4 linked regions of the Neurospora crassa OR74A genome follow. The protein of the gene in region 3 purifies or fractionates together with the protein of the main gene of each other region. This does not show direct contact. Links are inferred from orthologs where the notes say so. Each region holds a gene or a part of one and is shown on either strand. Other genes may lie near its edges. The genes, in order: NCU02810, NCU05270, un-10 and NCU04640.

Region 1 (8,182 bases), on a different chromosome or scaffold from region 3:
CATTATCCCAGACCCAGACACCAAGCTCTCGACCGAGGAGCATGACCAGCGCCGGCCGTCCACTCCAGGCGGGCGCCCCATTCCCATGACCGTAGTGGAGGAGACGCCAGATAGCACTGGTGCCGTCACCCACCATGAGATCGAAGCGAGGCACAGGGTTGACAGTCCTCCCGACGTGCTTGTCAAGGCGGATGGGCAAAAGGTCGAGCATGAGAAGGGTGGTGACAATGGTACGGATGCGTAGCACTTCTTTCTAGCCACACACACACGCGCGCGCACACACACACACTTTCACAAGCACATGCCTGTTTGTTTGTTTTTTTTTGAGCCAGCAAATTATACAAGATCTCCTTTGTATTGACTTTACGTTTTCCTGCGTAGATACACCAATACCACCTGCATTAAAGAGTCCCGCCTCGATCCATTCTAGAGACTCGTCATCTGATCTAGACCAGCCATCCCCTGACTCGCCCTCATTGGGGCCCAGTCTTCTAGAAAAGGAGGAGGCAAAAGATGACGCGCACGACAATGTCGTACGAGACAACGCCAAGACCGCCGACGACGAAGACGCCGATGAAGATGAATCCAAGAAGGAGGAGGAGAATGTAGAGGTCAAGACTGAGCAGGCTCAAGATGGAGAGGTGGAGGACGAGAAGCACGAGGAGGAACAGTCAAAAGACCGCGACACCGAAGAAGCATTGAAAGGAGACGAGTTCGAGGATGCCAGCGAAGAGCTTGAGACGCAAGATACAAAGGAAGAAGACACAGAGGACCACTTCGACGAGGCAGAACCCAGTCAAGAGAACGAGAAGAAGGTCGAGCCAGAAGAGGACAAGAAGGACGATGTCAGCTTTGACCAGAAAGAGGAGAAGCCTGTTGAAAAAGATGGGTTCGACAACGACGACGACGACGGATTTGCTGAAGCAGGGGATAAAGCCCCCGACGATGACGGGTTTGGTGATGACGACTTTGGGGACGACTTTGCTGAGCCAGCTCCGGCTGGCGCCGATGACTTTGGGGATGACTTTGACGACTTTGAGGAGGGAGCCGAGGCCAACAACGATGCTGACTTTGGCGACTTTGACGATGCCGGCTTTGACGACGATGACTTCCAAGAAGCCGAAGGGTTCTCAGCTCCAGCACCTGCTCCTCAGCCGCAACCACAACAACCGCAGTCCTCATTATCCTTCGTAAGTCCCCAACCCAGTTACTCCCTCTACGTCCAACACACACTAACATATCCCCTAGCAAATACCCGACTTCACCCACCTTTCCGCGTCCGAGATCCTCTCCCTCACTTCCCCTTACCTCAACGCTCTCTTCCCTCCCTCCCCCGACACCGACGGCGACGACTCCTCCTCCTCCCCCATCCCCACCCTCAATGTCTCCAACGGCATCACCGACCCCATCTTCCAACACCCCCGCTCCGCCTCCCTCTGGTCACAGCTCGTCGCCCCTCCCCCACTCCAACCCCCCGACTGGATCCGCTCCCGCATCCGTCGTCTCTTCCTCGTCTCCCTCGGCGTCCCCGTCGACCTAGACGAGATCCTCCCCGCTTCCAAACAAAAGAAACTCGTCTTGCCTTCGTTAGGCGACCCCGACGCAGCAGACGACGAACGCACAGGTCGTTCGCGACGCGCTAGCTCTGCCGCCGCTGCCTTCCGCAACAACCAAAACAGCCAAAACCTTACCACTACTTCGACTTCGAATTCAAGCCGCAACCCATCCAAGCAACCACCCGTCAACAAAACCGTCGCCGCCGCCGCAGGATCAAACACAGAAGGAAGCGCCAACCGCTCTTCCAGTTCCGCTAGGAAGGGACCACCGCCCGAACCGGTATTCGACCTAGTGGCTGCCAAGCAGCTGTGCGAGACGACGGATGAGGCGCTTTCGGGGATGACGGACAAGGAACTCAAAGAGCATGTTCAAAAATTGGAGGCGATGCAAGGGGTGGCGTCCGAGGTGTTGGTGTATTGGCAGCAGAGGACGGATGAGAAGATTGGTGATCGGGAGGCGTTTGAAGGGGTGATTGAGAATCTGGTGAAGCATGCAAGGAAGGTTAGGAAGTAAGTAAGTAAGTACGTGAGTACATAAGTCGGGGTGGGGGAGGTGGGTGTGATTGGGTATATATATATGTGAGAGTGTGGGTGGTTGGTTTGGTTGGGGATCAGGGAATGGAGGGGGGAAAGGAAAAGGATGATGATTATATTCTATTCTTCTATTCGATGTACAGGAGGTGATTACTTTGATAGACTGAGACTTGTTATAATATCAGGTGTTGTAATTAGCGAAGGACAAGAAGGTTTTTTTCGGGTGTGGTTCAGTTTCAAAAGGGGGAGGGAATTGTGATAGGTATGATAGACTATCAGGTCTAGAAAGAGAAAAATGAATAGAGTTACGTACGGATACATACTCGACTGTGTCCCATGAAGAGTATTGTTAGGTATATTCTTGGACTCTTTCCATCTATCCGAGCCATTACCATAGCCTAGTATAATGGTAAGATGGTCATTACGTCGAAGACTCATGGCGGAATCAATGTATTTATCTTCTCTACTTCACTCTTTCAAGTTTACTCTTATCATCACCACTGGCTAATAAACTCAATCCAAGTACGTCGGACCTTGACAAAATCAACGTAATGGCATCTTCTCTACCTCTACCACTACTTGGTAAACCCAAAGTACGTCGGTACCAAACATAACTTTTTGTACAAAAACTCCTAATGGTCCGATAATGCGCTTCTCTTCACGAGTTCCTCTTTTCACAACATTCCTCGCTCATCTTCTTCAACGAATCGTATGACCAGTCTTTCTACTGTCCTCGGCCCCAAGTTGGATAAAAATAAGACCATGTACAAATTTCACAAGGCTAGTTTTTAGAAACACAGGTCCCGGTTTCCCCACGCTACGCCGTTTCCTTCCGTGTCCGCGCCCAAGTTTCCATTCTTTGATCATCCTCCAACGACTTTTTGGATATTCATCATTAGAGCAACCAAAAATTAACAACCTTTTAATTTTCCTCCTAATCAAGCGATGTATAAACTTTGGATATTTTCTGGTCGCTCGCTTAAGAGGTAGAAGGCTCGAGGGTGACACCGCTGTTTTTTTTGTTAGTGGTTATTCAGTGGTGATAAGTTATGGGGTAAAGAAATAGAAAAGAAAAAAACTTACGCAGCAATGGTAGCCCAACCGATAAGACGCCAGTGCTTCTCGATACGTCTGGAAAGGGCAACCTTCTCGCCGATGCTCGTGCAGGCAGGGGAGGTGAGGATGAGCTTGGCGGCATCCTTCTTAATGGCGGAGACCTTGGCACCGGTGGAGGTGGAACCAATGTTGACCATGATGACTTCGTTCTTGGCAAGCTTGTCGACCTTGGCCTGCTTGCCGTCGGCGGTGCGGACACCGAGAAGGCGGCGGAGGAGGTAGAAGTTAACTTCGATCTCGGAGTAGATTTCGGGGAGGCGGCCCTTGAGACCGAGGACGAAACCGACCAGACGATCGGCACGGCAAAGGGTAGGATCGATGCGGGTACCAACACCAATGAGACCACCGGGCACGGCGTACTTGAGGTCGTTGGCCTCGGAGTTGAGGGAGACAATCCTGCTGAAGATGGGAGTGCACTTGAGGTCGCCCTTCTCGTCACGGGTGACGATACCGGGACGGATCTCAATCTCGTCGCCGAGCTTGAGGACACCGTGGAGAATGGAACCACCGGCAACACCACCCTTGAGCTCGTCGATCTCGGCACCGGGCTTGTTGACGTCGAAGGAACGAATGACAATCATCTGGGGGTCCATGGAGAAATCCCTGGGAGGAACGGGGATGGTGTTGACGATGGCATCGTTGATGGCGTCAATGTTGAACTTGAGCTGGGCCGAGATGGGGATGATGGGCGACTTTCCGGCAACGGTACCACGGATGAACTTGAGGATGGACTCGTAGTGCTGCTTGGCGGCCTCCTCGCGCATGAGATCGACCTTGTTCTGGAGGATGATGATCTTGTCGAGCTTCATGATCTCGATGGCGGCCAAATGTTCGGAGGTCTGGGGCTGAGGGCAGGATTCGTTTCCGGCAATCAGGAGGAGAGCGGCGTCCATGACGGCGGCACCTGAAAGCATAGTGCTCATGAGAATATCGTGACCAGGGCAGTCGACGAAGCTGGGAGGAGGAGACACATGGTCAGTCATTCATTGGCGCAAATGATGTTATGTTAAACAACTTACGAGACATGGCGCAACAGACGGTAGGTGCCCTCGCAACCCTCGCGCTCGCAAGGGGGATCAACCTCCTTCTCGGACTTGTAACTCCTGTAGCATGTCGGGCGAGGGCATGCTGGGTTGTCGCACTTGTAGATCTTTGCGTTGGCGTAACCGAGCTTGATTGTGATGTTGCGGATGAGCTCGTTCTTGAAACGGACCGTCTGGACGCCCGAGATGGCTTTTACTACTGTCGACTTGCCGTGGGCGACGTGGCCGATGGTGCCGATGTTGATGGTGGCCTGTCGCGCAATGATCTCGGGGGTGAGGGGGCTGAGGGTCTTGACGTCGAGGTCCTTGGGATCGGTCTGGGGAGGAAGGGGAGGTCTCTGGACGACGGGGGCGGGGGCCTTCTTGAGGGCCGACTTGCGCGGCTTGGCCTCGACCTCGTTGTCGGACTCGTGCTGGTCGACGTGAGACTCGTTGTCGGAGCCCGAGTCGGACTCGACGATGTCGTTGCCAAACTTGTCGCCGTTGGTAGCCATGATTGTGGATGTGGGTGGATGGAGGTGAGGTGTGGAGGTGAGTTAGGTTGGGTCGTCAAGTCGATGGATGGATGTGTCGCGGGGCAGTAATTTTTTCGCTTTCGGTGAAGCAACCCCTCTTGCTGTGTACTGTGTAGTGGGTGGTGTATGCCTGGTAGTTGCTGTGTACTTTTCTAGACCCTGCTCCTTGGTGTGGGTATGTATGTGGGTGTCCTACTGTCTCCGCAACGGGACTCGCGATATTTGTGATAGCGGACGTTGTTGGTGGACGGTAGAGGTAGTAAAACTGGACCTGCCAAAATAGTGGGGTTACAGCGAAGGTTGGAGGAAGGCTGAGAAGAAAAACTGCCTGCCTGGTGGATGACTCTGACGATATTTGACTTGTATTTGGCTTGTGCTAGGTCGGTATTTTCCTGTGCTGCCGCTGCCAGCTGCGACCAACAAGGCGAGAGCCTCACACATTCCGCTCTGCGAACCTGCCCTGCGTGCGCCCAACCCTTCCCGCCTTTGCCGCTGCCCCACTAAGCACGGTTTTCGGTTTAGCCCGACCGTCGCCTGCCCCACAAGGGCCGATAAGAGCGCGATAAGGACCAAGTAAGTGTAGTGCTAAAGTCCAGAGCTCAGTCACGGTTCAGCTTCAACATCATTGAGGTGACTTTTGGAACCTCTCTCCTATCAAGAGTTCGCCATCTACACTTTTATCCAACCCTCTGTCCCGTCTGTGTCGGCAGAAACTTACTCACAGCGTACACGGTAACTCAACGCTGAGAATTATATCAACTGAACGTTGAGAACGGGTACATTGTATCGATCGGCGAGTTGAATCCGGTTTCTTTCTTTGAGAACAATCGTTACTCTGCAACGGCCTCTCCCATTGACACCGGCATCCTTCGACGTACATACAAACGTTTCCGGGTCGATAAGCTGATCCATCATCAACAACGCCGAGTCTGCTTGTCGTCGTCAACTCTGAGGAGCACCCACGATGCTGGTCATGGCCACAGTCTCAACTCTATGAAGCTTGGTTAAGGGCGTCATCAAAGTCGTACCTGCTGCCAATGCCTGACTGTGGAGCGAAAAGGTAGGACACGAGGTGTCTTCTCCTGGATTCGACCCTTTCCCGTCAAGTTATTCGATATCTTCACGAAAGGTGAGGCTCATCGCTCTTGGGATAATAAGGGTTCAACTAGGGCTCAGTCTCGGGATAATAGCGCTGTGAAGAGTTGAGCCAAGTGGCCCGAATGTTGTCCTCCGTGATCTTGGACTGAGGCAGGGAGTAACTGCAACAGCTGTGCAAGCGTTACAGGATCATGTTATGTTTTGAGTGTATTTTGCTGGGAATATGCTCGATATACATCAAAACTACATCGGCCACCAACACGCTTCTCTCCCGGCCCCCAAAACACGCCCAAGCCCTTGTTTCACATCCAACCCAGATGCTTGTTGGATCGGAATCGGGAAGATTCCGGGGCCAAGACCTGTTCAACAGCGCGTACAACCGTCTCTGATGGTTCGAGAAGCAGTCTAGTAGGATTCAAGCCACAACCGATTCACAGCAATGACTATTGGAGCGGGGAGAAGACTCAGCCGGTTACACGAGACATATCCGCTTGACCGCTGAATGGCCGTCAGTCACGTCCATAACCATGCTGGGAGCTTGATCATCGCTGGGTTGGGGTCAAGAAAAATAGCACGGGAGTGTCTATTCAAGTTCATTCGGGCTGAGACTGGGCAAACGGACCAAACGATGAATTCACAACTGGCATGGCCGAGCCACTCCTATTAATACCTTGTCAGTTCTTCTTAAGAGGCGCACTGCTGAGGATTTGTCTTCTGCAATGAGCTTGGTAATCATCGTTTCACGACATGATGTGGCCAGCACTACCTACGGCACCACTCCCCAAAATGGGAATTCTTGCTGAGCTCGGATTTTTCTTGTCAAGTCATCGAACCGCATCAATGGTGCCATGGGCGATGACTTGCAGCAGCCGAACAGCGTGCTTCCACCGAGCCACCGAGCCACCGAGCCACCGAGATGACCGAGAGAGCGGGTAGGAATATAACGCAGAACTGGCTGTCCATTATGGTTTTGATGGCGATATCACAACGGTGGTACTGAAGCCTTAGTACACAACCTCCGTCTCGGCGGGCTAAAAATACTAAACCGGTGGCAACACCCCCAAGTTGATGTGCTAAATACTGGCACTTCCATGATACTCTGTGCTTACGAACACCCGATGGAGGGCGGGCAATATCTGTGTGCTGACAAGTGCAGCACAAGGTAACCTCGCTTCCAGGTGTAGATACGATTTTTCGTCAGAGTTGAGGACGGCATATAAGTTGCCAAGCTATCTATGGGCGGAAACTCGTAAGCTGAGATGTCCGAGTTGGATAACATATTGGCTGTCAAATGCAAGTCCAGAACAAGGACATCACTGTCGCGGACTTGTGACCACGGCTCTGATATTCAAGGTATTGATCTTTGCGAGTCCAGAACATACACCCAAACACCACCAGCCTTGTATCGTCTTTCCTGAATCAAGCTCGTTGCATAGTCCGTCTTACACTCACTCAGCAGCACTGCATCCGTCCTAGCGGTGTACATGTCTTGGTACCATGCCATGTTGTCCGCTGTGTTACGGAACACCGACGTCGTTGTTCGTCGCTGTTCCAGAGGGACCCCGCTCCCAAATAGAGAAAAGCGTGAAGAACACAGAATAGCTGGAAAGTCGGGAAGCAGAGACCACACGTGTGATGGTGTGACATTGACAAGTCTGAAGAAGCCGCCGGGTTGCTGAAATCCCCGCCTTCACCAGCCCTTGGCTTTCACATTAATGAACATGGTCAACTGACGATGCTGGTCGGCAAGTATAAAAGATTACTGTGTCCCCGGCGCGTGATTCCCGCGCGTTCCCGCGAAGTCATGGTCAAACATCACACTCAGAATCGTGAATTTGGCCCTTTCTGGGTCAGCGCCCGATATTAGATTGGGGGACCATGATTTGCGCAAAAAATGGAGTGTGAACAGCGTGGAGCGAGCGAGTCGCTAGTCGCGGAGAAGAGAGCGTAGAGGAGGTTTGTGTGGTACCGCTTGCCGCCCAGCAATGCATGGTTGGCAGCTCTATCACAGGATTGTGCCAACTGATTGGCTACACATGTGAAAAGCCAAAACAAACAGCCAATTAGAGGACTCGGAACACTCCAGGGTAGGCAGTTGGATGGCAGGGGACCAGCGGAGATGTACGGCAGGGGTTCTTGTGAAAAAGGCCCGCCCTCCAAGACTTCCTCAGCAACGACAACGACGACGACGACCGCTTGCCGCCCAACCACGGGCCGCCGTCTCCTAGTGCTGCTCTGAGCTTCACGCTGTCGATGATCTTGGCGGTACATCTGGACGATGTCGTTGGCCTGCCTCTTCCTGGTCGAGTCCGGTAAAAGT
Region 2 (7,983 bases), on a different chromosome or scaffold from region 3:
CTAAGTATGGATTCATGGATTCATGGATTCATGCAATTCCATGCCACCTATGCCGCCGCGTTAAGATTTCACACCATCCGTCCGTCCGTTATGATAAAAAAATATATATATATAAGGGCGTTCGTTGTTGAATCGAATCGGAAAGGGGGGAGGATGATGGAAGACCGATATGAATGATAAACAAATTGTGAAAAAAATTGACTTGAAACTAAAAAAAAAAACTAAAAAACTTCTGGCTTGTCGCTCGCTTTTCAAGAGAGAGAGAGATCACCACCATTGCTTGCCTGACCTACATACTTACTAACTTCAGTTCTCCCATTTTATTAGAGTGTGGGCTGGCTGACTGGACTTTCACTACATGTGTACCTACCTCTCTTATCGTCGAACCGGTTGGTTTTATCACGACATGCATCACCAACGACGACAACGACGACGACGACGACGACGACGACGACTACGACGACTACGATGACGACGAATGGGAACGAACAGGACCAGTACAAGTAACTACTAACCCATCAAATCAAACATCCTTTTATGATACCTACTAGTGCAACTAAGAAAACAAACCTTCATAAACGTACATACAGACAAGACATACTATAATTTCCCAAGACCATCATCCATCGATCCATCAACCAGCAATGCAGTAATTTTGTGTTTCCATTCCCTGCCTTGCCTATATTCCTATGCCTCCCCCACCAATACCTCCCCCTCCACCATCCATGTGGCATCATTCATTCTCCATTCTCATTTTTATCCATGTCCATGTCCATGCTCATGTCCATGTATGCCTTTTGACCATGACCATGATGATAATAAAATCCCCATCTTCTGCTTCCCCCAACGGTCTCCACCTTCCCACCTCTGACCTACTTACCTACCTACCACTTAGATAGTGGTTGTTGGTTTAAGCAATGTCAAACATGGGCTTCAACTTGATAATCAGCTGCCACTCGTCGTTGGTCACGTCTTTGCGGTAAAACTCCTTGAGGCAGTTGATCGAGGCACGCGAGATCTTGGAGTAGAGCATGTCCTTCTCCTCTAGATGACGGCCGTACGTGGGCTGGTTGCCGCCCATTTCAATCTTGATGGCGACGGAAGGTTGACCCTTTTTGCAGACGGGGATCTGCTTGTGGTCGCGCTCGATGGAGGTACTACATTTGCATGAATCAGTTAGTGATCATGTCATGGAGAGGAGGATCATGGGGTGAAAGGGAAAAAAAAAAGGAGGAACATACACTCTACCGAGATCGATGACCTCCCTAGCGCCAGTAACGGGGTTCGTCTTGACGGCGGAAATGGGCGTGTTGATCTTCAACTGACCCTCCACGACATCGACACCGATAACAATGGGACCAGACTTGTTGAAGACGGCAACGGGAGCGAGCACGCAAGGGAAGACAGCGAGGAGCTTGGACTCCTCCTTCTTTTTCTCGAGCAGCTCATCCATGTGCTTGGTGAACGAGTCGAACAAGTGGTAGATGATGTCGGCAGTGAAGATCTTGACGCCCTGCTGATCGGCATACTCCTGCGCTTCCTTGTCGACCTTAACATCGAAGCAGAGCATGACGGCATAATCGGGAGCCTTCTCCAACATGATACCGCACTGCATGACATCACGCTTGTAGACGGGACCGATACCGACGTTGGCGACGGGGATCTTGCACTCCTTGAGGAAGTCGAGCAAGGCCTCGAGCGAACCAAGGGTGGAGGCCTGGACGGAGACACCGCGGCCGGACTTTTCGACACGGCTGAAGAGCGAGGCGAGATCAGCCTCGACCTCGTCCTCGAGATCGTCCTCGTCGTCGTCGGGGCCGACGACAAGCAGACGGGAACCGGCAATGGCACCCTCGAGGCCGGGGGCAGAGATCTTGACACCCAAAGCGGCCTTGACTTCCTTATTGTGAACGTACTGCGACTTGAGGCGCAGTTCCCTGAGCGGCGCGGGCGTGAGCAGGGCTCTGATATTGGTTTTGATGACGCCTTCTGTACCACATAGGATAATGCGGTCACCTTCCCTGAGGATACCGTTGGTGAGAATGACATCGATGGTCATACCGAAACCCTCGATGGCCTTGACTTCGAGAACGGTAGCCTGGACCTCGGAGAGGTACATGAGAGAGCCAACCATGCGCTCCTGGGTAAGCTGGACAATGAGCTTCAACATGTCGGGGATACCCTCGCCGGTGTGGGCAGAGGTGGGGACCAAGGAGACGTATTTGGCCATGGACTTGTTCTGGTAGAAGAGCTCCGAGTTGAAACCCTGCTCGGCGAAGGCGAGCTTGGTCTGCTCGAGACGGTTCTTGAACTCGTTCTGGACAGCCTTGTTCTGGAGGGCCAACGACTCCTGGAAGCCGTTGTTCTCGATCTTCTTCCAGCCGTAAAGACGATCGATCTTGTTGAGAGCGACGATGAAGGGCGTCTTCCTCTCACGGAGCAGTCTCATGGACTCGAGAGTCTGGGGTTCGAGACCGTGCATGATATCGACAACCAAGATGGCGATGTTGCAGAGCGAAGAACCACGCGAACGCAAGTTGGAGAAAGACTCGTGACCGGGGGTATCGATGATAAGAAGACCGGGAACCTTGAACTCGAACTTGCCGTCCCTGTTGACGACGTGCGTCTTCTGCTTGATGGCCTCAACGGGGAAGTAAGTGGCACCAATCTGCTGAGTGATACCACCGGCTTCACCCTCCTGGACGTTGGTCTGACGAATCTTGTCGAGCAGCTTCGTCTTACCAGTATCGACGTGACCAAGAATACAGCAAATAGGCGAGCGGAGGTTGTCCGCAGACCTGGCAGCCAGAGCGGCCTGGTGAGCCTTCTCGCGGCGCTCGGCAGCCTCCTTCTTCCTCCGGGCCTCCTCCAGTTCCCTGGCGGTAGCCTCCTCGTCTTCAGAAGATTCCTCTTCAGATTCCTCCTCAGACTCGGACTCGGACTCGGACTCCTCCTTCTTGGCCTGAGTCTTGCCGTTGGCCGCGGCGGGCTTAGAAGCCTCCTTCTTGGTCTCTTCCTTCTTGGTCTCCTCCTCCTCGTCGGAGTCGGCGTCCCAGCTGTCCTTGACATCCTCCTTGTCAGAGGCAACAGCGGCCTCCCAGTCCTCGTCGACGCTGTCCTCAGCGGCGGCCTTGGCGGCCTCAGCCTTGGCAGCAGCCTCCTTCTCGGCCTTCTCGCGCTCGATGCGGGCCTTCTCCTCTTGCTCCTTGACCAGAGCCTCAGCGGCGAGTCTTGCGCGCTCAGCGGCCTCGGCGAGAGCCTTTTCCTCGTCCTTCTGTAGCAAGTAGACACTGGTTAGCGCCGTCCATAGTATACCGTAATTGTAGCAAGAATCCCGGACAGACTCACCTTCTTGTTAGCAGCCCTCTTCTTCTTGTCGTCGTAGACAGGCTTCTTCTTGGACTCTTCACCCTCGAGCGCGTTGACCTTGATACCGGCCGCCAACATCTGCTGCAGCTTCCTCTCGTTGCGGGCCTTCTCCTCCTTCTGGGCCTTGGTCATGAACTTGCCCTCCTTCTTGAGCTGCTCGATCCTCTGCTTCTCCTTCTCCTTCTTGCGGGCGCGCTCCTCCTCCTTGCGCTTGGCCTCCTCGGCAGCGGCGCGCTCCTCCTCCTCTATCCTGGCCTTCTCCTCGGCGAGGAGCCTAGCCTCCTCCTCTTGGCGACGGCGCAGCTCCTCCTGCTGCTTCTGGAGGGCGAGCAGGTGGGCGGGGAGCTTCTTCTTCTTGCCACCGGCGGCGGCTTCGGGGGCGGGAGTGGAAGCGGGGGTCGAGACGGGGCTGGGGGTTTCGGCCTTCTTCTCCTCCTTTGCGGGCTCGGCCTTGGCGGCGGCGGCGGGTGTGGTGCCCTTCTTCTTAGCAGCAGCCTGTTTAGTGAAAAGAAGTTGTTGTTAGTCTTCCGTTTGTGTCTGATGTATGTATAGTCATTAGTGGGTAATAGTGATAATGACTGGGTACTCACCTGCTCCTTCTTGCGCTGCTTCTCACGCTCCTTCTTGAGCTTCTCCTTCTCGGCCTTGGTCAACACCCTAGGGCCATCCTCATCGGCAGCATCCTCGTCCTTCTTGGCGGCGGCGGCGGGAGCAGCCTTCTGTTGCTGCTGCTGCTGCTTGCCCTTGCCACCCTTGCCCTTCTTCTCGGGGAGAGCGAACTCGTCGTCGAGGTTGGCCTCCTCGGCGACCTTGGCCGACAGATCGGGGACGGGCTCGGCGGCAGCGGGCTTCTCGGCGCCGGGAGCGTCTTCGCCCAGCTCAGCCTCCCAGTCGTCGGCAAGACCCTTCTTCTTGCGCTTCTCCTTGGCCTTGCGCATTCTCTCCATCAGACCGCCACCACCGGAAGCGGCCTCGTCGTCGGCGGCAGCGGGAGAGGCGGCAGCAGCATCGGCGCCGTTGTTGTTGACGGGGGCGATGGACTCGCCCAGCTCGGCCTCCCAGTCATCGTTGGCCTTCTTGTTTCCCTTCTTCTTGGGCGCCATGTTGGGCTAACTGGACTGTTGGTAGTCGACCGGGGAATACCTTGAGGCGGGGATGTCGTCGGTAGGATGGGCGGGGGAGAGGATCCTGATGGGCTCTCCTTCTCTCCTTGTGACGAAAGTCGAAGTCCGGGTGAAGACCTCGTTGCTCGCTAGGTGGTTCTGGTGGTGGGTTCGTGGGGCGGCCGACTGGGGCTACTGGGCCGTTATATGCGATATGGCTGGCTGCTAAAGAAGGCAGGCGGCGTACTTTTTTTGGTGCTGTAGGTCCCCCCTTGTCGACGGGATAGGGCTTGTCACTTGTATCACTTTTCGGTGGTGGTGCTGCAGAGTGGATCGATGGTACTGTAGGTACTTGGCACCGTGGATCTTTTTTTTTTCTTTCGTTGTTCTTTGTATCGAATCCCGCTCTGGTTTGTTGCTACACTATATAGAGGTCAGGTACGTACCTATCTCAGTACCTGTACTTACACCGTCTGCCTATGCGCTTTCTTTCAACCCGTATAAAGTGTTTGGTATTGTCTCCGTCTACGGTCAAAAAACGGCAATCATGTCCCGTTCTCTAACTCAATCCCAAGTAGTCGAAGTCGCAAAGTCAAAGGAGTCTCGATTCAGCAGAAAAATCCAGACAAGGATCGCCACTCCAAACTTTTTTTTTTACTTGTGCCGGAGCCAGGAGGTGTCGCTTTGACCAAGCCCTTGACTTGACACTGCACAGACTGTTGGAGACAGCAGTCAAGACAAATACAGTACAGTACAGTGCAGTGGTGAAAAAGAAGTGGAAGCTCCTGCACTCCCGCGTACAAGTACAGTGACCGACTCGTTGGTGCAGAATGCGGGGCACCTGCTTGTTAAGGCACAAGTGGGGCACTTGCTGGGCTAATTTCTGTATTTACTTTCTACCACTTTGGTGTATTTTGTGCGATATTCCATCCAAGGGGGCAGGCCAACTCCCTCACCTTGTCATAATGGGTATTTCATTAACCAGATGTTGCTAGTGATATTCTTTATTCGCTTTTCTATTATGCTGTAGCTACACCACCAAGGCATTCATCAGGACGGCTTGTAGGCCGACACTGGATCACACGTCCGTTTATTACCAGTGTATCTTGCCCTTCCCCCCCCCCCCCCCCCCCGCCTTAGAATTCCAAGCACTTAGTAAACTTGCCTAAGATAATACATCAACACGTTATACGCCAGTTCAAAATACTGGTCCGCAGTGCCCTCGCCCATCCACTCAGCAGTATGTTTGCCTCCATCCAACTTATCCAACAGGCTCTTGAACCGCGCCAACAGCTCCTCCGTGTTGATCAGCTCTTGCAAGACTTCCGCATCCAAGAGTGTCTTCAGCACATCACCATCCACATGCGACGGCTCAGTGGGACCCAGGTTCGGCTCCGCGTGCAGCAGCCTTTCCTCGTCTCTCTTCCCCCTGAGGTTATACAAGTTGACAATGAATCGCAACAGACGCAATGCGTGCTGATCAAGCAGCGTAAAGTGATACATGGTGCCGTCCATGGCTATTCCCAACATCTCGGCATCGTTCGGTGTGCTAATGAGCCGGCCGTACTTGGGTGCGTTCCAGGCTCCTTGCTCCCACGTTGGCCGTGTCCTGCCGCGCCGGAACTTCCTGATACTGACAGGAAGCGTCCCCTCGAAGAGCACCCTGAACTCAGCCCAGTTATGGGTTCCTGGTGTTCTGGACCATTGCCAAAGACCGCCCACGCCACGGTCTTTATCTGCCACCAGGAATACATTGCTTCCAATTTGCATCGACGACGTTGGTACAACATTGCGAGGATCGTGGAACTCGAGTGTTGCAGAGTTCTCAATGACGTCGTCAAGCGCCGGGTCGATCATCTGGAGTGAACCGTCCCACGTCAGGGCAAGAATCTTAGTCCCGGAGATGTGAAGCTCCAGAGCCAACGAGCCCAAGTCACATAATTTGCGTGGCTTCAGCTTTTTCTCGACAGGGTCCAGCACATCCCAGTGGACTATCTGGTCGACACAATAGATCACGCTCTCCTCATGTCCTATTACTGAGTAGACCGGTCCATCGCAGTTTTTCTTAAATCGCGTCCAGTATTTTATCGAAGGTGGGTGGTCCCCGTTCGATGGCTCCTTTTCCGTCGACACAATAATGAGCTGGCCTTGTTTGGTACCAACAAGGAGATAGCGCCACGTCCCGTTGTTCTTCTTGTACTCCCACTCGGCCAGACCATGGATTCGGTCGTCAGGTTTACCCAGCCCCACAATATACTGAACAGGAGTTCCTGCTTTGTGGCTCGGTCTTCCGATGTCCTTTCCTGTGTCAGGATCCATGAACATCAGCGTCGACTTGTTTCCCTCCTCATTAACACCAACCACCAGGCAACGTAGGTTGGGTGAGAAGAACGTCTTGACTGGTGTCTTTCCAATCGTGATATATCGATGAGCTGGACCAGGCTCCTGGTGTAGCTCGGCAATGATTGCGCTCGACCCCGCCAACATGAGGATAGGGGTAAATCCTTCACTTGCGCATGGAATATCGATTGCCACGCCGTACTCTACAAGTGGTAGAGGAGCACCAAGATCGCCCGCGTTGACAGGCATGACACGATATTTTGCCAAGTCATGGACAGAGCCATTCGGTCCATGCTCATCGAGTCGTACTTCAATCAAGGCTTGATCGCAGGAGACCAGCACTCTCGGTCTCGCGGTCAGAGAATGCCGGGCCGCAGTCACATTCACCGCGGTCAGTCCGAGTTGTTGGTAGTAGGCCATTGTAGTACCCTTCCACTCCTTCGAAATGTGAATGAGCTCTCCGCCTCTGGTTCCTAGAAGTATTGCGTTATTGACAGAAGCGATGCTCCCGATTGCTTTGAGAGGCACGTCATCTCGATATCCGGTAAATCCAGCCGATGTCACAAGTCCTATGAACACATCAGTATAATGGAAACCAAAGCAGGAGGCAGCATGGGATTGTGCTGGCCCAGGTGTGCTGGGTCAACCTTACGTTCTGTAATATCAATCTCCTCGATATCTTGTGTGGCTGTTTCAGTTGTTGGGGAACGGATGAGCAAATATGGACGTCCGTCCTTCCAAAGACCGACAATGATCCCAAGGTTTTGGCTGTGATGTAGCGAGGTCACGTCCCCAGGTACGTCGAACTGGATTTGAGAAACAACTGCTGTATCATAGAACTTGAAACTGTAAATTCTGAACTGTGGCCCAACATGCGTTGAGACTGTGATCCAGTCATCCGTAACGCAAGCGTCCGACACTGATACCTGCGACTGATCTGGCAGAAGCTTGTCAAAAGACAATCGGGTCCTGTAAGATTTTTTTTAGCATAACTCATACCCGTGGGCTTGGGAGCTTCGTACCACTCGTCTGCATGCGACTGGGCCTCGTTCTTGAAAAGTGTGATGGAGGCGGTGGTCACTTGGACAGTAACCCCGTTTACCTGCGCCACAGCCAAAGTGGGCGAAGACAAGTCGTAGAGGACCTGGTCGGGTTCCGGATCTATTAGTTC
Region 3 (4,246 bases):
CCTGGACCTTGGAGATGTTTACGAGGACCTTGGCAGCGGCGTTGTCGAGAGCGATAGACTTGAGGATAGTAGCACCGTCGTTTGTTACTAGAATCTCACCGGTCGAGCTGGATGTTGTGATGGTGCGGTCAGCACATGACGGCGGCGTGTCAAGCATGTAGGCGGGGGGTTTGGTGAACAAGCATACGCAGACTGGAGGATCTTGTCCATGCCCTTGGGACCAAGGGTGCTCTTGACGAGGTCGCCAACAGCAATGGCGCCGACGAAGGCGCTGAGACGGGCATTCTCTCCCTTCTCTTCTGTGGTGCCCTCCTCGAAGATCTGGGTGGGGCTAAACGAGGCCTGGAGATGGTCAGGCGGTTGGTTAGTTACGGTGAGCTCGGAAAGATGCCCAAAGTGATGTACAAATCAACTTGCCATGATGTAGAAGAAGCTTAAGTATTAGACAAAAGGTCGGGGATACGGGGTGCACAGGGGGTTGAGGTTGGAAGAGAAGAAGAAGCAATTGAAGCTTGGTAGTACTATATTTTGGGTGGACGTTATGGATACCCTGAACGCGAAGCCTCCTTTCTACAACAATCTGCCAGCAGCGGGACGGATGATGCTCTTCTGAATTCCAGGCACTTTTTGGACGGCAGGCCACGGCAAAATTCCAGAGCTTCCTGTTCCTCCTTTACCTCACCGCCTGCGACAGGTGGCATAAAATGCTTGTCACTCGCATGCCAGGCCGTCTGCCCCTCCTTTGACAGACAAAATGTCCACTTGAGGTGAGTGGGCAGCAGGGGACCCCACTTGGACGTCTTCCGTGGGGAAGGAAGAAAGGGGGGGGGAGGGGAGCTTTGGGCTGGCAGCGGCGGCGGCGGCGGTGGATAGTGGTGGACAGCGCAGCCAGCACTTTGAGAAGCGAGGAGCCCAGGGGACTACCGTCGAGGCTCAAAGCCAAGAGGAAAGGGAACCTGAGTCGGTGCAACGAACGAACCGCAACCTTCAGTCCACTTCTTGACTTCAAAGTGATGGCAACTTGAAACCTGTAAACTCTGCTGAAAGCGGACAGACGTTGCCATGGTCAATATTGGTTCCGTGCACAAACGAACAATGCTTAGCCCACTGCCTGCCGCCATCATTTTGTTAAAAAGAAAGGAAACCGAAAAAGTTGTAGTTGATGAAGAATAGAGACAGCATCGAGAACTTGACTTTCCCAGGCTGAGTGTTCATTGCGACTGTGCAATATCCATGATATCTGAGGCTCCGTCTTCTTTAACCTCCAAACTATCCACCCCATCATTGCATTCACTGACATAAATTCCCATTTTGGCGATTCCAGAGAGAGGGGATCTGGTAGGGTAGCCAATCAACGTGCATTATTGCCTCCTAAAGTGGGGCATTCCCTTCACTGTCTTCCCTGGTTCTCTGGCCGTTCTCACTGAACCCCACCACAATCTGCGCGCTGCGCACAAATTCTCACAATAATCCTGACGACCGCATAAGCCAGCACGTTGTTCCGCCCGCGGCATCGCAGAAAAAATCCGAAGCGGCCAGCCCAGAATCCCGTCATCCACCAAGTCCAACCACCACCACCACCACCAGAGGCGCCTTCCCGACCCGTACATCGCCAGCTACCACTAATCCCCGGCACCCACCAAGCATAACAGACTGCCGATTAATTGCCCAGCATGGCGCCCTCTTTCGACCACCTCCGCGACGAGGACCTCGACGAGGATGACTTCGATGTTGATGAGGTCGACATTTCCGATATCCGCGAGAAGTACGAGGTTCAGCTTGAGCAGGGCTACGATGCCTTTGTCGTTGTCGACGGCCTCCCCGAGGTCAACGAGGAGCAAAAACCCAAGCTCGTCAAGTTCCTGTTGAAGAAGCTCAACACGGTTGGCAAGACCCGGGAGGACCTCATCTTCATGCCCATGGGCGAGGATGGAAAGTCGCTGAGGTATGCAACACAGCCGCCGCCTTCAAAATGATGCGCATCTACAGACCGGCCATCCATCGCCGCGCCCGAACCGCGATGTGTCCCTATGCTGTGCATGTTGGCTCCCCGACCAGGCCACTGATATGAATTCTGTAGGTTCGCCTTTGTCGAGTACTCGTCGCCCGCCGAGGCCGCTGCCGCCTGCAGACAGCTCGACCTCGTCCCCCTCGACAAGAAGCACACCCTCCGCGTCAACAAGCTTACCGATGTCGACCGCTATGGTCGCGAGGGCCGTATCGATGACGAGTACACTCCTCCCAAGATCGAGGAGTTCCAGGAGAAGGAGCACCTCCGCTCCTTCATGGCCGACCCCAGCGGCCGCGGCAGAGATCAGTTTGTCATGTTCAGGGGAGAGTCCGTTGGTGTCTTCTGGAACAACGAGAAGGATACGCCCGAGAATATTGTTGACCGCCAACACTGGACCGAGACCTTTGTGCAGTGGTCGCCCCTCGGTACCTACCTTACCTCCGTCCACGCCCAGGGTGTTCAGCTTTGGGGTGGTCCCTCGTGGACCAGGCAAAGGCGTTTTGCCCATCCTTTTGTCAACCTTGTCGCCTTCTCTCCCAACGAAAAGTACCTTGTCACCTGGTCCAACAGGCCGATTTCGATTCCTGAGGAGGGTCACCCCGCTCTTTCTGTAGAAGACGACGGCAAGAACTACGTTATCTGGGATATCGAGACCTCCAAGCCCCTTCGTTCTTTCGCCCAGCTCGACACCCCCGCCGCCGCCGAGGGCGAGGCTCCCAAGAAGGCCCCCAAGTTCCCCTGGCCCGCCTTCAAGTGGTCTGCCGATGACAAGTACGTCGCCAGGCTGAACCCCGGCCAGTCTATTTCCGTCTACGAGCTTCCGAGGATGAACTTGTTGGACAAGACCGCCATCAAGATCGAGGGCGTTGTGGACTTTGACTGGGCTCCCGCCACCGTGCAGCGCGACGGTGTCAAGTCCTACGAGCAACTTTTCTGCTTCTGGACCCCTGAGATTGGCAGCAACCCCGCCAGAGTCGGCTTGATGAGCATCCCCTCCAAGCAAGTTGTCAGGTCACTGAACCTCTTCAGCGTCTCGGATGCCAAGCTCCACTGGCAGTCCGAGGGTGCTTATCTGTGCGTCAAGGTTGACCGTCACTCCAAGTCCAAAAAGTCTCAGGCTACCACTCTTGAGATTTTCCGTGTCAAGGAGAAGGGAGTCCCTGTGGAAGTTGTCGACACCATCAAGGATACCGTAATAAACTTTGCCTGGGAGCCCAAGGGCGACAGGTTCGTTATCATCACCACCACCGAGCCTGTCGGTGCCACCGCGGTTCCCCCCAAGACGTCGGTCGCTTTCTTCTGCCCTGAGAAGGCCAAGGGCAATGCTGTTGGAAACTTCAAGCACCTCCGCACTCTCGAGAAGAAGAACAGCAATGCCATCTACTGGTCGCCTAAGGGACGCTTTGTGGTCGTTGCCACTGTTGCCAACACTCAGAGCTCTGATCTCGACTTTTACGACCTCGACTTTGAGGGCGAGAAGCCCGAGTCCGACAAGGACCTTACCGCCAACCTTCAGCTTATGAACACCGCTGACCACTACGGTGTCACCGACGTTGAGTGGGACCCCTCGGGTCGCTTCGTTGCCACCTGGGCTTCCGCGTGGAAGCACTCTGTAAGTATCATTGGTATTAAATCAAGATGACGTGCAGCAGAAATCGCTAACGTGAAACAAAAACAGATGGAGAACGGATATCATCTGTATGACTTCAAGGGTGAGCAGCTGCGCGAGGAGGCTATCGAGAAGTTCAAGCAGTTCCAGTGGAGGCCGCGCCCCGCTACCCTCCTTAGCAAGGAGGAGCAGAAGGCCATCCGCCGCAACCTCCGCGAGTACTCGAGGATCTTCGAGCAGGAAGACGCCGAGCGCATCAGCAGCGCCGACGTTGCCGTTGTCGAGGCCCGCCGCCGCCTCCTCGAGGAGTGGTTCGCTTGGCGCGAGGCCATCAGGCAGGAGGTTGCCGAGGAGCGCGAGATCTACGGCCTTCCGGCGGATCCCGTTGCCGACCTCATCAAGGCCAAGACCCCCGAGCTCGCCACCGACCAGGAGGAGCAGGTCATCGAGGAGATCATGGAGGAGGTGTTGGAGGAGACCGAGGAGATCGTTCAGTAAATGTGCGAATAGGCGGCGGCAGTAGTTTGATATGTTGTGAAGTTACATGGCGTACCGTTTTTTCCCCGTTTTTCGAAAAGGTCATCTGAGGGTACAGTGAATAAAATGAACTGGGTTCTTTCATATCT
Region 4 (8,096 bases), on a different chromosome or scaffold from region 3:
CTTACCCGTGATCTCCACAATCATCCGGGCTGCCAATGCGGCCTGCGGCATTCCGTGTCCGGTGTACCCGGCGCACATATACAGATTCTCTCCGCCGCCGAGTCTTTCCGGCACCCGTCCGACCCAAGGATGCGAGTCTCTGCTGAATCCCATGATCCCCGTCCACTGATGCGTGGCCTCGAGTTCTGTAGTCTCATTTCCCTCCTTAGGGATATCCGTAGGCGTAGAGCCAGTTTTGTCTAGAGTCAGATCCAACGGATATGGTGCCAGGTTTTGCCTCAGATAGGTCGCGACGCCTCGCTCGACTTCATCATCCTGCCACACTCCAACCGCCTTGTTCTCCGCATGACTTCTCGCTCCTCCGTAGATTAGCTCTCCTCCGGGCAGAGGTCTCTGCATGAGATACTCATCCCTCGGAAACTGTTCCTCGCTGACAAACGCATAACTGTAATCCAACTCGGCCACTTTGCCACTGGTCGCATCCTGCGTGGGTGGCCGCAACGACGCAACTTGGCTCCTCACCGGAACGATCAAGTCCTTCATCTCCGGCAACAAATAACTCGTATACCCGTTCATCGCCAACAGCACTCTGTTCGCCTTGATGCTTCCCCTGCTCGTTATCACCGTCCACCTGCCATCGCCGACTTTTTCCAATCCCAAGACCGGTGTGTTCGTCTGCAAGTTGAACCCTCCTTCGCCCGTACCACCATTCCTAACCGGAAACCTCTCCATCAACCTCTCCAACACGCAAACCACCAACTTCCAAGGCCACAAACTCGCCGCATGCTTCTGCACCACCGCCCCCTTCGCCCCGGGAACTCTCAAATCCCTCAGCGTCGTCTCTCCTCCCTCTTTCACCTTTCTGGTCTCATCATCAACCAAATCCACCTGGCCCCTTAATCCCTCCGGCAACTTTTCCACCAACGCTTTCGCCCCCTCCCACACCTCCTCCGTCAAGTACGCATGAACAGTCTTGTGCGTTCTCCAATCCACAGCGCCCGCAATTCCCTGCTCCTCCACAAAAGTCTTGAGAAACTGATAAGTGGCCAGCTCGAATTCGGCAATGGACGGGGTGGAAGCCGAGTAGACAAAAGGCTGGCAGTGTCCGCCGTTGCGGCCGGTGGCGCCGGAGCAGGGTTGCCGGCGCGCTTCGAGCATTAGGATGTCTCTTTCGCTGCTGCTGCTGCTGCTGTTTCCTTCTTTTTCTTTCCCAGCTCCAGCGCCAGCTCCAGCCCCAGACCCAGATCCAGACCTAACAACAACAACCTTCGTTCCCCTCGTCTGCTCCAACAGGAACCAAGCCGCAAACGCACCCGTAATCCCCGACCCGACAATCACCGTATCAGCCGACTGCGGCAAATCATGCGTGGACCGATAATCATCAAGCCTCTGAGAAATATCGCTTGGTTGCAGCCAGTAGGAGGCGCTGGGATTGGCGGAGGGGAGTCCGGCCTGGCCTGAAGAGGAGGGACCAGGGTTGATGTTGCTGCTGCTGGTTGTGTTCATGTTCGTTTCCTGTTGGGTCGGTTGGGCGGCTCGGCCGAGGTCGCTGTGGTGGTGAGAAGAAGGGTGGGGGATGTGCTGGTCGACTCCTCTGGGGCCGGTTTAGCGGATGGTCATTTTGGCTTGTACCTGGTGGTTGTGATGATGAAGGGGAAGACTTGAGTGATGAGTGGAATCGAGCAGGTAAAGTAGTGATGAGTCACGTTACGCGTTGACTTGGAAAGTGTTGACTAATCTATCGAACAGACAGACGAGGTTGAACCGTTGAGTTGTTGCCTGCGGCCCATCGTCTTATATGGGTTTGTTGATGCAAAATGTGGAGGGGAAAGATTCTCCCGAAGCTAACTATCATGCATGTGCTCGGCATATCATGGATCGATCGCCAAAACATCGGAACGTAGTGTATACGCAATGTATACGCGTCAAGGTGAGATTTCGAACCTAAGCGGCCGCTTTTTCTCACCAATCGCGGAGTATCAAGGTTTATCATTTTACTCAACTGCCACTTTGAGTTTCGATAACATAATGTAGTTTATAAAGGTAGACTGAATGGCTATACATACTGCAAAGAACAGAGAATAATTCCTGTTCGCAAGATCTCAAAATCCATCGCTTCGTAATCCTGCGCTCAGTCAGCCTCTTCCTTGCTCTCCCAGTCTAGCTTGCTGACCATGGTCATGAATGACCTGAGAACCTCTGAATCCCACATCAGTCTAGATACAACCTCGCAGCCCTCATCCATATAAATCAGACAAGCTCAGGAAAAGAAGAAAGCCCTCCTCTTTATCAGACTCCCTATGCAAAGTAAGGATAAGTGTGCCACCATCATCAAAAACCAGAACTTTTTGTGTACCAATTCTTCATCAAGTATCGTCATATTAACCCGTACCCTACCGCGTAAGGAATTCACCTGATTTTGTAGCACAGACTCTCTCTTCCATCCTCTCTCTCGTGTACTGGAGATGAGAGATTGCCGTTCAGAGGGGCCGTGCTACTTCGTAAAAGACCCGTGCCCAACCAGCCATATACAATGCCGTCTTAACTCCGTCCTTGAAGCGTGAAAACATTGAAAAGCAAACTGCAAGGGCCTCGAAACAAGAAAACAAAAACCGCTTAACCCTGCATCTTCTTTCTCTTGCCGACCTGGGCAGAGAAACCGGTCTTAATGGCCTGGACAGACCGCCTAGAACCGCAAGAGTTGCAGGTAATGAAACTGTGACATGTCAGCATTTTGGGGCTATGGTCGTCGTAAACAGAGGCCAACTTACTAAAGACGGTTCTCGCCCTTGGAGAGCTCGGTGTTGGGGGAACGGCACGTCTTGCAGGTAACGTACTCTGTTGAGCATGTTAGCATTTGTAGTCAGAGCAAAACGTTGGGTGCTGGTGGTGACATTGTCTACTTGGGCGCAAAACGTCCAAACGACGACAGGATCAAATAGACATACCGATAATGTAGGTACGCAGAACGTTCTCGATCTGCTTCTGCTGGAAACGACCCTTGATGACCAGACGCCTGCTGCCGTCGACGGAACCGCTGGTACCCAATTCGGCGAAAAGGTAAGAAGTAACGTGCTCGTCGGCTCTCTTCATGCGCTTGCAAATCTCGGGCAGGTTGGCGAAGATGGTCTTCTTGTTGCCTTCACGGAGACACTGCGGGGGCGGGATCTTGTACGACCGTGTACCGGTAGAGGCGTGGTCGGGGTTCTTTTGCGAGAGAAGGGCGAAGAAACGGGACAGAAGAGCGTTGTAGCTGATGGGCTTGGTCTCGTCGTGGGCCCAAATGCCGGTGCCCTGGTCCATATCGCCCTCCTGCTCGTCCTCCTGGGGGGCGGCCTCCTCGCCCTCCTTGCCCTCAATGTTGAGAGCCTCCAGCTTCTTGGCGAACTCATCATCCTCCTTGACGACCTTCTTCTTCTTCTTTTTCTTCATGGTGAGGTCGATAGCACCGTCACCCTCGGCAGGGGCGGCCTCATCAGCAGCGGCGTCGGCATCGTCCTCCTTCTTGACCTTCTTCTTCTTCTTCTTCATGAGCGAAAGGTCGAGGCCATCATCGGCGGCGGGGGCGGCAGCAGCAGCAGCATCCTGGGGCTCGGTGGCTTGGGGGGCATCAGTAAAGGCCCCGAGAGCGGCGTGGAGGGGCGGCGTACGAGCAGAGTGGGACTGGGCAGTCTCCTTGATTTCGTCGGCGGGAGAGGCGTCCATGGTGACAGAACCGTCGGGGTTGACAACTAGCTTCTCGTCGGTAAAGGTGACAGACTTGCGCGAGGGGCGTCTTTTGATAGAGGGCGCCTAAAGGGTTAGTATATCGGAGTGGATAAGGCGCTTGTCGTGGGAGTCGCGATAGCGGTCAAGGATTTCGCCGTCGAGTGTGGATAGGAAAGCTCGGAATTTTTTGGGATGATTGGCGGCGTTTTCGCGCTGCAGAGTGCCAGAACTTTATGGTGGATTTTGGGCTGGGGGTGGAGGGAGAGGGTTGGCGCCTTGGAGGGGCAGTACACGTCAGGGGACTTGAGGGCTGGGGCCGGGGATAGGTATAATTGCACTGCGTAGGTAGCAAAGTACAGTGAGGGGTGTGCAGTGTGGTGAATGGGACTTTTTATTTCCTTAGTATTTTTGACTAGGCGAGAAGCGTGGCTCCCCCCAGGGCTCGAGGTGTCTGCCTCTAGCGTGGTGGTAGGGTCGGGGAGGACGGAGGGTGTGTTGTGTGGGCGTAGAGGTAGTGAGTGTGTACTGAAGCAAGGAGATCCATCCCAGGTACTTACTTCAGAATCCATGCTGGGCCACTGGTGTGTTTGAGAGTGTGGTGGTGTCTGTCTGTCTGTCTGTAGGTGTGTGATTGTCCGTCTTTTTCTTTGTAATCGATGTCTCTTCCGGTGGACTCTTTGTTGGTCGCAGAGAGTGGATTTTGTCGATGGATGAGATTAGGTAGACTTTGGGGTCGGGAGAGGTATCGATGCAGGCAGACTGATCTCAGCTTTCTTTCAGTTTCGGACCTGGAATTGTTCTTTGCGGGGACCTAGGTAGTTGGATGCCGCTTGGGTCCTGGTCTGGTTACCTACTACTACTGTCGTTTAGTTCTGTCGTTGGGCTGGAGACTGAGCGGAGTTCTTTCTGTACACACGGCTCTGGATGGGGCACCGGCACCACGCCTCAGCTGTGTTCACCTCATGACGTTGATTGAAGCGAAACTGTGAGTCAGTCTTCTCAATCACCTGACAAGTGGGGTGGGAAGAGCTCAGACAGCTGCCCGCCACTTGCAACTACAAATCGCCTCCGCTTCTCCATTTTCCAGGCCATGCAGCCCTCCTCCCTGCAGCACGGTGCCTTCAACCCGCTCGAGCCACGGCCGCACAGTCCGACACGGTTGGGTTGGCACTGGCACTTGCAGTCCGGTGCAGTGCTTGGCGGCAGCGATAGGTGAGTGGTGTCCATTCCAGCATCGCATAGCTGCACTGCTGCAGCAGTTGGTGCCGTGGCCCGTCATCGGTCACCGACAACAACCAGCTCCATCACGAACCTTGGAAGGCGCGCCGAGTCCGTAGAGGTATCCATCTCCGTGTATCGCTGTGTTCGTAACCGACAACGAATCTCCCAGCAGCAATCAAGTTCGTCCCACGCGATTTCTACAATATCCTACACGTCAGGCGTTACGCCGATTCGTACAGTGTCTCCATCCCGAACTATCGCAATTTGCCCGAGCTACGATAGCTACTTACAGTACCATCTTCACCGCGACAACCGACCGTGCGCCGGCGCCGACCACTTGCTCGCCTCATCCAAACCACACTGACGATAGCTACCTACTCCCGGCCAGAGACGCGATACCCTCAGACAGACAAATTGCGCATTCGGGACATCCAAAACCATGTCCACCCCCTCCGATTCCTACGTCCTCCACGACCACTCCCCGTCAACCGACAACGACGATGTCGACTCCCTCCCGTCCATCTCCAGCAGTATCCTAGGCTCGGACGACTCCGAGTACGACGACGAATCAGACGCACAAAAGGAATGGGAACAGAGTCTCGAGCAGCTGCAGCTTCTCTTGAACTTGGTGCTAATACCGTTCGCGGGCAAGTTTTTGGGGCGCAAGTTTGCTTATTGGAGTAAGACAAACCAAAACCAGATCTTGGGAAAGACAGCTTGCGCTGTGGGAGGAGACAATAACGACGATGCGGAAAGTCAGTTGCTAACATGGCCCGGCAGGTTGGGGACGGTACATGGAGTGGGCGCACGGGGTCAAGGTCCAATGGTATAACAAGACGCTATTCAACATTGCCGGTTGGATAGGAGCTGCTACGCCAGTATCAGTATGAGGGAGGCAGACAGGCGACCGTGGTGATGAGGTACTCGAGTCAAAGGCGACGGCAGCACAATTCTCGATACCCTATTTTTTCGGTATAATCTGGGATACCAGGGGTGGACACAGTGCTCTTTTGGCGTTACGGTATGGGAACACTAGCATAAAGGGGTATGTTTCGTTCTTGCACAGTTTGCGTTGCATTGGTGGTGAAGAATTACAGACATGTGTAGAATGCATGTGGACTGTCGTTATACTTGTGGAAGCAAGCGTTGAAGCTCTGCAGATACATCTGATCATCAGACAATGCCAATTATACCCATTACTATTGCTGACTTTAGGTTCGACTGATACTATTATAACATGCAGGTTCTGATCTTCCTTTCCTCGTTCGCCATATTAACCCAAGCCATCACTACGTAATTACACTGATCTGGGTATAATTGTCGAGGGTTGCGACACCGCACACCCATGATGAAGCGAATAGCTATCCATCACCATAACTCATCCTTGCTGCCATAGCCCTACTCATACCATCATCCAAGCATACCACCAAAACTATCCAGGCTCTCCAGCTTTCTTCAACACTCTTCCCGAGCACTTTCTCAAGGTTTCCAACCACCACCACCACTCCATCTCCCCGACCGCCTTAGACGACCACCTGTGACATGGTCGGCCCGCTCCTCACGCTTCCGCCCGTCCTCCTCCAGCTCATAATCGCCAACGTCAACGCCGCCGAGAACGCCGCAAGAAGCAACCACATGAACACCGTTCCCGCCTGAATCTCCCTGCACCTCTTCGCATCATCGGCACTCCCGTACGCGATCCACTTATGTCCATAATGATCATTCGCAAGATTTCCACAGTTCGGAGTACCCAACTTGGCCGCCAGCACGATGCCGGCGACGACGGTGAAGAGCGTGGCGGCGGCGTCGAAAATGAGCATGACGAGCGGAATGGCGACGCTCTGGAAAATGGCGGCGACTAGGCCGAAGAGAGCGACCACCCACGAGAGCGCGATGACGAACATGGTGAAGTTGATGGCGGCGCGGGCGGTGGTGGAGGCGTCGACATCGAGGGCGATGACGTTGCCAATGAGGCCGGTGAGGATGATGAGGAAGATGAGCTGGATGAAGCGGAGGATGAGGGGTATCACTTCCATTTTGGCGGTTGGTTTTGTTGGTGTGTGCTTGATGGGTGTTTGTTTATTGTTATTGTTTACAGGTGTTGGAGAGGAAGGAAAGGTTGGGGGAGCTCAGATATCACAAGTAATGTGTCCGAGCAGCAGCAGAACAGTCGTGGCGTTTGCGATAAGTTGCTTGTATAAGTTGGAGGTTGATGGCCCGGTGAAGTGTCTCGAATGCTGTAATGTACACGAACAGTGGAAGATGTCTCTTAACACCCTTTTGGATACACAAGTCGCGAAGAGGATTGCACAAGTTGAAGAATAGTCAGGAAAGAAGTTGTTGGGTGGTCGACCGGTTTTATCGGGCAAGTGTTGGTAGTAGTATTACATAGCAGTGAGGGAGTACTTAGCCGTGCCATTCACTTTGATCATTGTACTTTGTACACAAAGCACCTGTTTCTCTGCCCACCAACTGACGCACGACATTGTACATCCCATCATACTATCCGTCAGAGAAAGCGTCTAGACATCGAATGTCACTGCGACCAAGAGCGAGCCGATCGATGGAGGGGCACTCGAGGGACGGCAATTGTCATGGGAATGACATGGGGGAAAAGAGCGCCAAGCAATGCGAAGCATCATCGCCAGGGTGGGGCGACCCCGGCCGATGACGATATCACCTAGACAGAGGGGCATGATGTGCGAGCTTGGGGTCCCTTCTTCCGATTTCTGTCTTGAACCCTTATAAACTGAACCCTTTGACCACGGCTTGTTGGGGAACTGATTGGTCCGTTTTCAGTTAGTTTGATGATCGGGATTGACCCCTCCATAAGATGTTCTCTTTGTTAGTTTCGTCCATCATTGCCGTCCTCCCTCTATCGTCCTCCAGAATATCATCATAGAGGCATCGATCCCAGCCGAAGAACCAAATCAACATTCTGTTTTTACTCTCACACTCAACTCAACCTCGTTTTGAGTGACCCTACACTCGCTACACACTACAACCTTTTCAACAGCTGCTGCAGTGCCACCCCAACCCCAAAGATACACTACTTCCAGAGAAAAAAGCAGCCTCCTCCGCCATCTCTCCTTCCAAGTATAACCAAAAACGCTGCTAGTATTATGTACCAGCCAGTTAGAATAGTGACCCGTTGTTCAAGGAAGTGG

What was found.
Region 1: the proteins of un-10 (region 3) and NCU02810 purify together in Saccharomyces cerevisiae (affinity purification with mass spectrometry; 3 studies listed by BioGRID, with this or other methods). This does not show direct contact. The link is inferred for Neurospora crassa OR74A from reciprocal best matches to the Saccharomyces cerevisiae genes PRT1 and GCD11.
Region 2: the proteins of un-10 (region 3) and NCU05270 purify together in Saccharomyces cerevisiae (affinity purification with mass spectrometry; 6 studies listed by BioGRID, with this or other methods). This does not show direct contact. The link is inferred for Neurospora crassa OR74A from reciprocal best matches to the Saccharomyces cerevisiae genes PRT1 and FUN12.
Region 4: the proteins of un-10 (region 3) and NCU04640 purify together in Saccharomyces cerevisiae (affinity purification with western blotting; 4 studies listed by BioGRID, with this or other methods). This does not show direct contact. The link is inferred for Neurospora crassa OR74A from reciprocal best matches to the Saccharomyces cerevisiae genes PRT1 and SUI3.

What each region holds. Positions count from the first base shown.
Region 1 is NC_026501.1:9,044,640-9,052,821, reverse strand, and holds NCU02810 (eukaryotic translation initiation factor 2 gamma subunit), read right to left. Parts: upstream 5,158-8,182; 5' UTR 4,744-5,157; coding exon 4,226-4,743; intron 4,161-4,225; coding exon 3,174-4,160; intron 3,101-3,173; coding exon 3,070-3,100; 3' UTR 2,610-3,069; downstream 1-2,609. Other genes in the region: NCU02809 (hypothetical protein), read left to right, coding at 1-230, 382-1,190, 1,249-2,070. UniProt on the Saccharomyces cerevisiae protein: As a subunit of eukaryotic initiation factor 2 eIF2, involved in the early steps of protein synthesis.
Region 2 is NC_026504.1:5,512,452-5,520,434, reverse strand, and holds NCU05270 (mitochondrial translation initiation factor IF-2), read right to left. Parts: upstream 4,761-7,983; 5' UTR 4,473-4,760; coding exon 3,960-4,472; intron 3,865-3,959; coding exon 3,349-3,864; intron 3,275-3,348; coding exon 1,242-3,274; intron 1,158-1,241; coding exon 911-1,157; 3' UTR 505-910; downstream 1-504. Other genes in the region: NCU05271 (hypothetical protein), read right to left, coding at 5,625-7,381, 7,465-7,781, 7,835-7,983. UniProt on the Saccharomyces cerevisiae protein: Plays a role in translation initiation. Translational GTPase that catalyzes the joining of the 40S and 60S subunits to form the 80S initiation complex with the initiator methionine-tRNA in the P-site base paired to the start codon.
Region 3 is NC_026507.1:3,330,318-3,334,563, reverse strand, and holds the start of un-10 (eukaryotic translation initiation factor 3), read left to right. Parts: upstream 1-1,446; 5' UTR 1,447-1,673; coding exon 1,674-1,945; intron 1,946-2,080; coding exon 2,081-3,623; intron 3,624-3,689; coding exon 3,690-4,118; 3' UTR 4,119-4,246. Other genes in the region: NCU02207 (T-complex protein 1 subunit beta), read right to left, coding at 1-107, 188-342, 418-420. UniProt on the Saccharomyces cerevisiae protein: RNA-binding component of the eukaryotic translation initiation factor 3 (eIF-3) complex, which is involved in protein synthesis of a specialized repertoire of mRNAs and, together with other initiation factors, stimulates binding of mRNA and methionyl-tRNAi to the 40S ribosome.
Region 4 is NC_026505.1:1,362,115-1,370,210, forward strand, and holds NCU04640 (eukaryotic translation initiation factor 2 beta subunit), read right to left. Parts: upstream 4,644-8,096; 5' UTR 4,278-4,643; coding exon 4,266-4,277; exon of another isoform or gene 3,793-4,265; coding exon 3,651-3,792; intron 3,600-3,650; coding exon 2,949-3,599; intron 2,839-2,948; coding exon 2,772-2,838; intron 2,717-2,771; coding exon 2,617-2,716; 3' UTR 1,970-2,616; downstream 1-1,969. Other genes in the region: NCU04641 (FAD dependent oxidoreductase), read right to left, coding at 1-1,506; NCU16952 (hypothetical protein), read left to right, coding at 5,369-5,609, 5,710-5,819; NCU04639 (non-classical export protein Nce102), read right to left, coding at 6,453-6,965. UniProt on the Saccharomyces cerevisiae protein: Component of the eIF2 complex that functions in the early steps of protein synthesis by forming a ternary complex with GTP and initiator tRNA.